Saccharomyces cerevisiae S288C: one gene and its partners. Changing the gene in region 3 together with the main gene of any one other region gives a genetic interaction. Each region holds a gene or a part of one and is shown on either strand. Other genes may lie near its edges. The genes, in order: MNR2, PAU13 and YMR090W.

Region 1 (5,393 bases), on a different chromosome or scaffold from region 3:
AATGAAGTCGCAAAGCAACAAGAAGTAAAGAATTTGGAGAACGATTTGAAACCACAAATTGATTCAGAAAAGCAAAAACAAATAAACAAGGACAAAAAAGAACAAAAACAGCAACTCCAGAAAGAGAAACAAGATCTCGCCAAGGAAAATTTGGCTAACAATGAAATCCTTGATAATTAACCAATTCAAAACTTCCAACAGTTTGGTGATGAAAATAATAAATGTTTTACGTTAACCTTATTGATTAACCTCACCTCCCTTATTCTTTGTATAGTATAAGTGCATACTAACATACTGTGTACGTACATAAAGATATGCAGAACGTTCACAAACATGTAGAAACCAGACACGAAAAAAAAAAAAAAAAAAAACATAAATAGATTAAAGATATTTATCACCACAAGTATACGATACGGCGCTGATAATTTACAATTCTATCCTTCGGGAAAGACAACAATAATTTAGGCTGATAATTAAAATCGAAGGAAAAGCAAGCGCTAATGCGCGAAAAAACACTTAAATTAAAACCCGAATCTTCTCTTAGTATACATATATGCAGAACATGCTAGCATACACATAAAAAGCACAATGCCTATAAACCATGTCAACGAATCCCTGTATTGTCCGGGCACGATAACATTCATACCCCACAGACCCGTAATCACATTCATTGGCAGAACAATAGTACCCAGTATGGTAATTTTTCCCAAAACGTCGTTCATGTCATTATTAACCTTCGTCATATCAATGTTGATTTGTGCCAGATAATTTGAATGCGATCTACTTAACAGTTTTTCATAATGGTTTAGCGATGAGACCATGGTTACAATATGATCTTGAATATCACCCAAATACATTGCGATTTCAGATTGTGGCGAAGCTTCCCATTGCTCATTATACCTTTTGGCAAATCCTTTTATCACATCAGCCTTGGATCCTAGCAATCTTAGTATACTCATCACTCTTTTACGGCATTCACCAATCCGCCTCAACATATCTCCTTTTCTCTTCCAACCTATCAAATTTGCATTGAATGACGCTTCAGAAGTGCTCATACTTCTTGAACTCACACTAGATTTTGCACTAGAGTAGGACGTCTTTTTAGAATAGACATCGAACGGAAATGCATCCTCATCGCTAGCGCCCGAATCGGAATCACTATCGCTAGAATCGCTATCACTAGAATCATCTGACTGATGCATCTTCAAAATGGCGTCCTCAATCTCATAAACTTCATCTTCGATAAGTTCTATCATAGGGGCAAATGCGTCTGTAATGTCATCGATTAAGGCATACGCAATCCAATCAGAGGTAACATTAAGGTAATCCTTTAGTAGTCTTGCTCTTCTTCGAACATTAATAGGATGTGGTGTGGGAGCAAAATGAAACGTCAATACACCAGTTCTGAAAACAATAATGTAAACATTCAATGGCTCTAATTCTCCCTCACGTGGTTTGTGCCTGTCTCCTGATTTTCTTTTGAATTTTTCGTTCTCTTCCATCTTTTTCTTTTCGCTTTTGACACGGCGTTTATAGCTTGATGATGATGTATTGGTTGTTCTATTTGCAGATGACCGACGGCGTGCACGTAAAATCGATGGAAGCCATTTGCTCCTACTTGCATTGCTTGTACTGTTATTGTTATTTGCATTTGATTCATTTGACATAGTAGCACCATAGGCTTGTGATTTACGACGTGAAATACTTTCATGATCCAAGGTAGCAGATTCTTGCTTTTCTTTTCTCCTCCGACGAACATGCTTTTCTGCTACAATATCGAAACTTCTAAAACAAATCAGGTAATAATCTCTAAATAGTTCCACTTTCTCACGAACTTCTCCCAAAAAAATATCTTCTGTAGTTAAAGGGTGAATTCCGAAAGCTTTACTTAATATTTTCATCTCCTCTTCAGTAGGATTGCTGACATCCAACCAGAATGGAGGAACATCCTCTATATTTGCCACAGACATAGACGATAAAGTGGAAGGGTTTTTAGCTGTCAATCCCTGGAGTTGAGATACAGTTTCTGCTTTTATACCAGGTGTTGGAGAATTTGGATGTGTCTTGATATGACCAGCGCTATTATCTTGGGAGTATATAGAAGCGACAAATAAATCTTGAAATTTTTGACCAGGTTGCAGTAAACCAGATATTGTCGGAGAATGAACAGTAGAGTCCAAATCCACCCTAAAATAAGTGAACCTGAAATGTTCTGGGTTATTAGAAATAATATGCGGAGGATATTGAATATTTCTGCCGACTAGTAAGTTATCTTGTAATCCGCTTTGAATTCTTGATTTTGAGTCCTTGGTTGAATTGGACCCAAGGACCATTGGACGTTGAATCAAATGCCATGGCGCAATTCTTTTTGGCCTTAAACGGCCGTTCTTCAAATTCTCTGTTTCGTTTACCCTTCTGTTTCCCAATTCAGGGACATCAATATTAGTTACGATTGGCTTTGAAAAAAGAATTCCATCTTCATTTGATGTTCCATCTTCCTCATCTTCATCGTATTGGAAGTGGAAAGCTTCAGCATCTTGAATAGCTTGACTTCTTAGTCTCTCTGTTTCTTCCTTGGAAAATTCTTCCAAAACAGTACAATCAGGCCAAGCTTTTGGCACTTCGCTACCCTCATCATCAAGCACTAAACAAACGTCATCCAAAGAAGAGTTATTTGAAGAAAGACTAGAAGATGGCCTTGAGTTATACTCATCCTCTTCATCGTTTGAATCACTGGATGTGGATTTGGAATTTTTGTTGCTACTATCATCAGAACCCCTCTTTTTCTTTCTTCTCTTGCTGTTATCATTAACCCCAGTACTTGCATTGTTGTTAACATGGTTCATTAACGCATCAACATCAATCACGACATCATTATTCGCGTTCGATTGTCTCCTATCGGTGGGGGAGTTTTCGTCAACAAAACTCTTATGAACAGATTTCCTTCTCTTCAGCCATGATTCAAGCTCTGAAGGGGATAAGTCCGATACTAATGATCTATTCTGATCAGAGGGTCTTAACCCTGCGGGTTTCTTGTAACTTGGTGTTGAAAACTTCATTATTGGCTGTGGTTGAACTGTGCTTGATACACTTTGAGGCCCCTCCCTAGGTTGGCTCATTGAAGGTCTATGATCAATGAACGCGCCCTTGAGCGATGGATCCTCACTTTTTATTATATCATTACTTGTAGAATCAGATTCATGCAGCATGCCCCAGGAATCGATCTGGTCGAAATCAGTAATCTGGCCGTGATTGTGTTGCAGATTATCATGCAGCAGTTGCGTTGGCCTACGTGAGTCTGACTTCAAGTGACCAACAAACTTGTCCTTTCTTCTTTTTTGATTGCGCTTCTTTTTCCTTAGTTGAGGGCTACTAGAGTAAGGGGAAAGCAAAGGAACACCTTCATCCTTTTGTGAGTTATCAGTGCTCATTTTTAATCTTTTTCTTCTCTACACTTCTCACTTTTATTCTCTCAATTTACTGTCGAAGTAAGGGGATAAACTCAGTGTAGCAATACGTACAACTTAGTCATCAAATGAAAAAATGCGGACTACCAAACCAGAAAATGATGAATAGTTATACAAGTATACGATAGTACAAAAATATATTTAAAGGGCCAGGTACTACTAACGACAACCTGGGCTAGGTTTCACATATCAAAAAGAAGTTATGGCTTATGTGCTCTTTCTAAGTTTGACTTTATGCCAAAAATTTCTCCGTAGATCGCCGCCCGTTGAAGCAGCAGAATATTTTAAGTGCGCCATAAAAACCTAGATAGAAAAGAAGGGAGAGAACATAAACGCAGAACACCACTACTTTTAAGGCGTACGCAAACTGTTGGGCTTATCTATATTGTACTATCTACCTACTTGCAACGTCTTTTACCTCCTCGATACGTACTGCTTATGCCCTGAACAATTTACATGTAACCCGCAGCTGCATGCTATATCACAGGATACGTTAACATAAAGGGGGCGCTACTAAACCCTCTGGCGCAGTGCAAAAATAGAAATATATGCCAAGTGGGACCTTGTATAGTTTCTGGTTTAAAGCTATTCGTTCATTGCAACGCTCCTTTCTGCTATCCTTTCGCAAAGTGGCAAGTACTGAAAACCGAGAAGAATAAATAATATTGCGATGAGTTTATACTTTACGACATTATTTTTATTGCTCACTGTTGAGATGGTAATGCTCTTCATCTTCGTTTTGCCTTTGCCATTCCGGATCCGTAGGGGTATTTTTAGCACCTATAACCAATTGACAGCGAAGCAGCAAATAAAAACTATAATCTTTATAACGGGTTGTCTTGTTGGCCTGTTGTTTATTGATTCATGGAAAAGGTCTCAAATTCGTGTTTCATTATACCACAACGACAACAGTGGCTCAATCGGGTCATCTGCTGTAACTCCAATACAGGCACTAGCATCAAGAGCGTACAATCAAAGAAATATGTATATTTCCGGGTTCATATTGTACTTTTCTATCTGTATCCCAACTGTCATGTCTATTGTCAAGAGACTGGTGAAATACCAAGGCTTAATCAACGAACAAGAAAAGCAAAAATTGAACAAACCTTCCTCAAACAGCAAGAAAGACTCAAATGAAGCTGATTCCACCAAACTTCAAGAGGAACTAAGGAAAAAGCAAATTTCTCTGGAGGGCCTACAAAAGCAAGTCAAAAACCTGGAGAAATATTTTGATGAGAAGAATCAACCTGGAAATGTAGCAGCTGCTGAAGCTTCCAAGAAAGGAAACTAAATAGATATATTTATGTATAAATGTATATACGTGTTACCTCTGGTGCTCATACTTCTCTGGTCGCGACGCAATACGAAAATGCTACTGAAATAAAAAGCAAGCGATTAGATCAAATGAATATATGCATTATATGTTACCAACTTTATTTTTTTTGAATATAGACGAAAAAACGTTAGAGAAAGACATAAAAAAAAAAGATTGAGCTTCGTGACTCGGTTTACCATTCTGTGTTATATACGAAAACCCTTATATAACAACTTTTTAAATTTTTTTCTCATTTTGGTATATCTTTTTAATTTCACTATGTTTGCTATCGTTCTTATAAAACAAATAAAGTAGAACTGGAATCATAACACCCACAGAACCGACCATTAGTCTAGATGTTTGTTTCTTAGGATTAGACCCTATCACAGGCTCAAAATCCTTTGAGGATACATATCTCCTACTTGTCCGTTGTAATAATTTCAAAATATTAGATCTCATCATTTAAAAATGTAAGCTTTTTTTTACTTGAGTTTTTGTTGTCAGAGTTAGGTCCAAAGTCCCTAGAATAGTGTACGCGATAAAACTCAGCTGCAAGTCTAATATATACATTCCGCCAGAAATTTCAATTTGGGATCCCTGCATATTGCCAA
Region 2 (2,822 bases), on a different chromosome or scaffold from region 3:
ATTGGAATTCACAAGGTACGGGGTAGCCACCAACTTTTTAAAAACCTGATAGCAATAACTGCCATCGTAGAAAAAAGATCTATCTGCACATATACGACGGTCATATACAAATTGGTTCATGTCATATGCAATCCGGTCCCATGTGCTCAAGTCCATGTTAGGTTTATGTGTAATGACTTCCGCTAATAGTTTGAACTTACAATCATCATCTAAACATCTTAACTTATATCTTGAGCAGCTTAAGTAAGGTAAGAGGAGTAAAAGGAATAGTGAAATTGTAATTAGTAAAGCCGCTAAGATAATAATCAAAGTATTACCGTGTGCAGATAATGCCAGGCGGTTTAAGATTATGGTAATAATAATATGGATGAAAATATATGAAATGAATACGATATTCTGTTTTAAGAAATAAGCGCATTTGCTGGGGGTTATGTCCCTTGGAAGGATCACTGTCTCACCTTCGCATAATTTTCTTAATCCTTCTGGTCTTGGTTTAGAATTAGATATTAATAATTCTGAACTCATAGCCTTAGCGGGCCCTCACTTGCTTTTGAATTTGTCTTTATACCACAAGTTAACAATTACATTTTCTATATCCTTTTTATATTGTTATAATTCGGGACTTAAAAGCGGGAATATCTAGAACTGGGAGGATTGCATCATTTTTCTTGGCCCGTATGTTTTTCTTCGAGTTTTGGCCGCAAGACGAGTAAGAAGAGGACAGAAATAAGTATGTTGCATAACTTTTGTAGAATTTACCAGAAAAACTCCAATATAACTTACTTCATTATGACATATAAGCTAGATCTTGATTTCTTTCGTCAACATACTAAAGCACGCTATCGGAGACTTCTTCAAACCCTTTCTTATGAGAACACTTAGCTGACTGTACATTTAAGAAGCTTTAGAGATGAGCCGTCACCATGAATATAGCGATGGTTTTGTCTACAAGGAATACCAACTATTAATACCATTTCCTACAGAAAGTTTTTAATTGAATAAAATACATTAGCGCCATATATTGCCTTTTTCACTTTTCTTTATATCTAGCTAGAAGAAAAATACTGTGCCTCGAAGAATAAATTTTTCCCACCGCACAGAGTTGTAGTACTGCTACAAACTGAACTCAACATTTTTTTTTTACCATACGCGGCTCTTCCAATACTAGCTGCTTCTCAGCGGCCTACAATTACGTAATTGCGTCAATGAATTTCCTGAGAACGCTTAAAAACTACAAACTCTACAAATAAGCGACTCCCAATACACGTTTTCTATTTTTAATTAAACTATCAGGAGAGGGATAATATAGTATTACCTCTTCCATTGGAGGCTGTTTACAGCAAATTGAATATGGGCTTAAACATAAGAATCTGTACGAGGGTCCAAATCTAAAATTCGGATATTCTTTTTGACCGAAAACGGAAACTTCAAAGGCACGGAAAAGGGTTTTATAAGGCACTCTGGCACCCCTATAATAGGCATTCCCACATTCTGCGCATACGAATAGACAAAGGCCCCAGAAAACAATACCTTCGCATACGGAATCTATAAAGATGCATGCCTCGTTTAAAAACAATAACATCTTCATAGTGATAATCAAATTCTGTGAAAGATGAGATATGGAGAATATGCGAGGTACTAAATGAGCGTCTGTTAACGAATCGTTTAAGTAGTGATGACTGATGAAGGCATGGGTATAAATAGAGCTGCTTCAACTATATGCCTTTGAGAATATGTCTTTATTCCTTCCCTTCCTGTTAAGCTTATATCAGCACTAACAAACATAACAAACATAACAAATACAATGGTCAAACTAACTTCAATCGCCGCTGGTGTCGCTGCCATCGCTGCTACTGCTTCCGCAACCACCACTCTAGCTCAATCTGACGAAAGAGTCAACTTGGTTGAATTGGGTGTCTACGTCTCTGATATCAGAGCTCACTTGGCCCAATACTACATGTTCCAAGCCGCCCACCCAACTGAAACCTACCCGGTTGAAGTTGCTGAAGCCGTTTTCAACTACGGTGACTTCACCACCATGTTGACTGGTATTGCCCCAGACCAAGTGACCAGAATGATCACCGGTGTTCCATGGTACTCCAGCAGATTAAAGCCAGCCATCTCCAGTGCTCTATCCAAGGACGGTATCTACACTATCACAAACTAGAGACAAACGCCTTTACGAATGAAATTCCATAAAACTTAAAAAAACAAAAAAAAAAAAGCTTTTTTTTTTGATAGTATAAATAGTTGATTATATTAATGTATACCAGTATTATAAAACCTACTTGATTATTCATGCCGTTCTTATCAGAAGTATTTACTGTAGTGGTAAAATATAGTGCCTTGATAATCCAATAGTCTTGTCTGTCTAAAAGGCTTCAGTTGAATACCTTCTTTCGTACATGTTGCTATTTCAGGGTATCGGGCCGGAGCATTTACCATTTGCGGCGTAAATGCTAAAGTTAATAAATCTGAGTCTTCCTGTTTTATGAGTCAGATGGAGGTGTAACGCAAAGAGTAAGTTAATCACAGAAAAAGGTTAGTATCCATTACATATTTATGTTATAGAACATATATGCGTATAGAGACAGAAAAATTGTTTAATAATAAAATCACCCACGCTTGCGTAAGACGTCCTTGAAGTCTTAATTAGTCCAGCTATAGTTATTAGCTATACCAATTGAAGAACCAATCGGTCGAGCGTTTTATATATCAGTAGAAAGCAAGCCTCTTACGAACTTGAATTTGGTACTTCCATAACTACATAATCATTTAACCCTTGCTTTACACTTGCCCAAAACTCTTAATTTAAAGAAAAT
Region 3 (3,231 bases):
GGCATAAACCCTGCAAAAAACCAGGTGGAATTCTTTGAACACAGGCCACATGGTCACATGAGTAATTCTAATATTATTGCATCAGGTAGTAAGCTGAGCTCTACAAATTGGCTCTATCAGCATTCTGCTGCGTGTAGTAGATTTAATAGCGATTTGTTTTATGATAGAGTGAAGGTTCTTCTTGTAGATCAACAAGGCTTGAGAGATGCATACACAAATATATTACACATACCAGAATCCACACAGTCAACCACTGTTTTAGGATGGAGGAGATCAAAAAACGATAGTCCCAGCGACACAAGCATTGTGTATGAGACCGTTATACACGATAACGATTTGAATAAACCGAAAACGGGACTGTCGGAAATCCCGAAAGAGATCTATGAAGACGTTGTTGATGAAGACGTTTTAAGGGCTATCACCGAACAACAAAATTTCGAAAAATGCAACGAATATATTTAGTATACTCAATGTAACAATATAACAAATTTTTATCTTCAAATCAAGGTAAAAAAATTCATATATTCTCACTTTCTTTTTCTTTTCTTGACTATTCATCTACATATGCATTTCACGCGTAAATAGGTTGATCTACAAACTTTGAATGAATTTTTCCATTGGCTCGTTGCCATTTACCAACGAAATGGTTTTTTTCACTGTTGCATTTGGATGTAGCAAGCTTTCCACAATAAAAGAAGCTACATCCTCCCTGTTAATGGAGTAGTTAACAGAAGCCTTCTCTTCTAATTTGTCAAGGGGTTGCAAAAGACCGGTACCTTTATTTAGTTCCAACGATCCAGGCTGTAAAATAGTGTAATCCAAATTAGAGTTTCTAACCTCACGATCAGCAGATCTCTTTGCAATATAGTATTCACGCAAACCCTTAATGTTATACCAAAAATCTCTATCCTCCGCCTTGAGCGCTGAAACAACAACGAACCTTTTGATACCAGCCTTTTCGCATGCTTCAACAACTTTGATACAGCCATCCAGATCAACCGTGAAAATTCTTTCCATTCCTTTACCACCCGCACCGGCGCTAAAGACCACGGCATCATAAGCCTTAATAGCGTCTGTGATCTCACTAACGGACGCGTTTTCTATATCTGTCAAACTAGCATCAACACCTACTTCATTCTTGAAATAATTGACTTGATCCTGTGTTCTAACAATCGCTAATGGTGTTGAGAAACTATCGTTGGCCTTCAATTGGTTTATCAATAAACGTCCAACTTTACCACTGGCACCGACAACCGCAACTTTCATAGGAGACATGGCTGTTAAGTCAATAATATATGAATACCGATGATATAACTTCAATGAATTTTTATTTGGAGGGAAAGTATCCTATTATGAGCGTCACGATGGGACTTTAAATATATATCCCTACTTCGAGTGTACCCTTACGTAATACTTGCAGCCCCTTGCTGTTGACAGCGCGATACAATTTTCGTACTAAACAATCACAGAGGTAACAGCAAAGTTTGGAAAGTACTTTTGTTGGAAAGTTATTACGGCCACTAACATTGTCTCGTCGTATTATTAAAAGCTATAACGTCGTATTTCTTTGCTCGCTTGTGTTTTGTGATACAGGAAACACACACCAACAGGTTCACCGAGGGCTGTTGTCTGTCTTTGTACTTTAACTCAAAGAACTTCTGTTTCACGATTTGTATTAATAGTTCTTGCAGGCTACTAGGCTGAATACGTTAAAATGGTTAGCAACGAATATAACCAGAAATACTTCGGGTACAATTCTGATACGTATATTTGTAGATATGTCTCGCTTGATGTTGCCAACTTTGTCAAAAATGGTAACGTATGGGCACACGGAATGTGCTAATCCTCGACTTTGCTCTTTCGTAAACCAATTTGATGCAAGTGCAGCGTGGTCTTTTGAAAGTGCATTATCTCATTGGGCGATGCGAAAACTCTGCCTACAGAAGTTCGCCGTTAGATAATTCTGATTGTAGAAAACCTACCAAAGAGAATAAACTAAAGTGTCATCTGCTAATTTATGATCTTATCGTCTGAGTGATGATGTATGTTTCTCTTTGTACGGTTCGTCTTGTGCTCATGTACGTAACATCCTCCATATGTGTGAATTATTTTGTCCGGCGTCTTGTTTGAATATCCCATCCGGACGTATTTCTTTATAGGATAACGCATGCACATATCGGTTCGTTCAATAAGAAAGTCCCTTCTGGTATTATTCGGTGTCCTGTAAGATCTATATACTAATCACCAAGCTATCTGGTGTCACATTGTGAATACATTTGTCTTTTGGTCCATTTTTCCCCATCATTTTCTCGTGAAAACGATCTCTAACTTTTGCCACTATAGTTTTAAAGGAAAGATTTTGAGCTGCCAACGAATACAATATAGCACACTCAAGAGTCTTGGCAAGCAACTTTAAAGTTAGAAAGAGTACTAATGTTGCTACTTTCTTGGTCAAGAATTGCTACTAAGGTAGTTAGAAGGCCCGTTCGCTTCCGGTCCTATTACGGCTTGACCCATATCAAGAGTTTACATACTCAATATCGGCTACTCAATAGGCTGCAAGAGAATAAGAGCGGTAACAAGAACGAGGACAATAACGAAGACGCTAAACTTAACAAAGAAATTCCCACAGACGAAGAGGTTGAAGCAATAAGAAAACAAGTAGAAAAATATATCGAACAAACTAAAAATAATACTATACCGGCTAACTGGAAAGAACAGAAACGCAAAATTGATGAAAGTATTAGGCGTTTAGAAGATGCTGTATTGAAACAAGAATCTAACAGAATTCAAGAAGAAAGAAAGGAAAAAGAGGAGGAAAATGGTCCTTCAAAAGCCAAGTCAAACAGAACAAAAGAGCAGGGCTACTTTGAAGGTAACAATAGCAGAAATATTCCACCGCCACCACCACCTCCTCCCCCAAAACCACCTCTAAATGATCCTAGTAATCCTGTATCGAAAAATGTTAACTTATTCCAGATAGGACTAACTTTTTTCCTCCTTTCGTTTTTATTGGATCTCCTCAACAGTTTGGAAGAGCAAAGTGAGATAACGTGGCAGGATTTTAGAGAGAAACTATTGGCAAAAGGTTATGTTGCGAAGTTGATTGTTGTCAACAAGTCCATGGTGAAAGTGATGTTAAATGACAACGGAAAAAACCAAGCCGACAATTACGGTCGCAACTTCTATTATTTCACAATTGGTTCAATTGATAGCTTCGAACACAAACTT

What was found.
Region 1: mutations in YMR090W (region 3) and MNR2 together harm fitness more than expected from each alone (negative genetic interaction), as found in Saccharomyces cerevisiae (one large-scale study listed by BioGRID).
Region 2: mutations in YMR090W (region 3) and PAU13 together harm fitness more than expected from each alone (negative genetic interaction), as found in Saccharomyces cerevisiae (one large-scale study listed by BioGRID).

Annotation. Positions count from the first base shown.
Region 1 is NC_001143.9:315,802-321,194, reverse strand, and holds MNR2 (putative Mg(2+) transporter MNR2), read right to left. Parts: upstream 3,432-5,393; coding exon 522-3,431; downstream 1-521. Other genes in the region: YKL063C (uncharacterized protein), read left to right, coding at 1-180; YET1 (Yet1p), read left to right, coding at 4,138-4,758; DPC7 (Dpc7p), read right to left, coding at 5,020-5,241.
Region 2 is NC_001140.6:11,268-14,089, reverse strand, and holds PAU13 (seripauperin PAU13), read left to right. Parts: upstream 1-1,804; coding exon 1,805-2,167; downstream 2,168-2,822. Other genes in the region: DFP4 (DUP240 family protein), read right to left, coding at 1-525; PXP3 (Pxp3p), read right to left, coding at 1,241-1,588.
Region 3 is NC_001145.3:447,289-450,519, reverse strand, and holds YMR090W (uncharacterized protein), read right to left. Parts: upstream 1,276-3,231; coding exon 592-1,275; downstream 1-591. Other genes in the region: NPL6 (Npl6p), read left to right, coding at 1-462; m-AAA protease subunit YTA12, read left to right, coding at 2,434-3,231.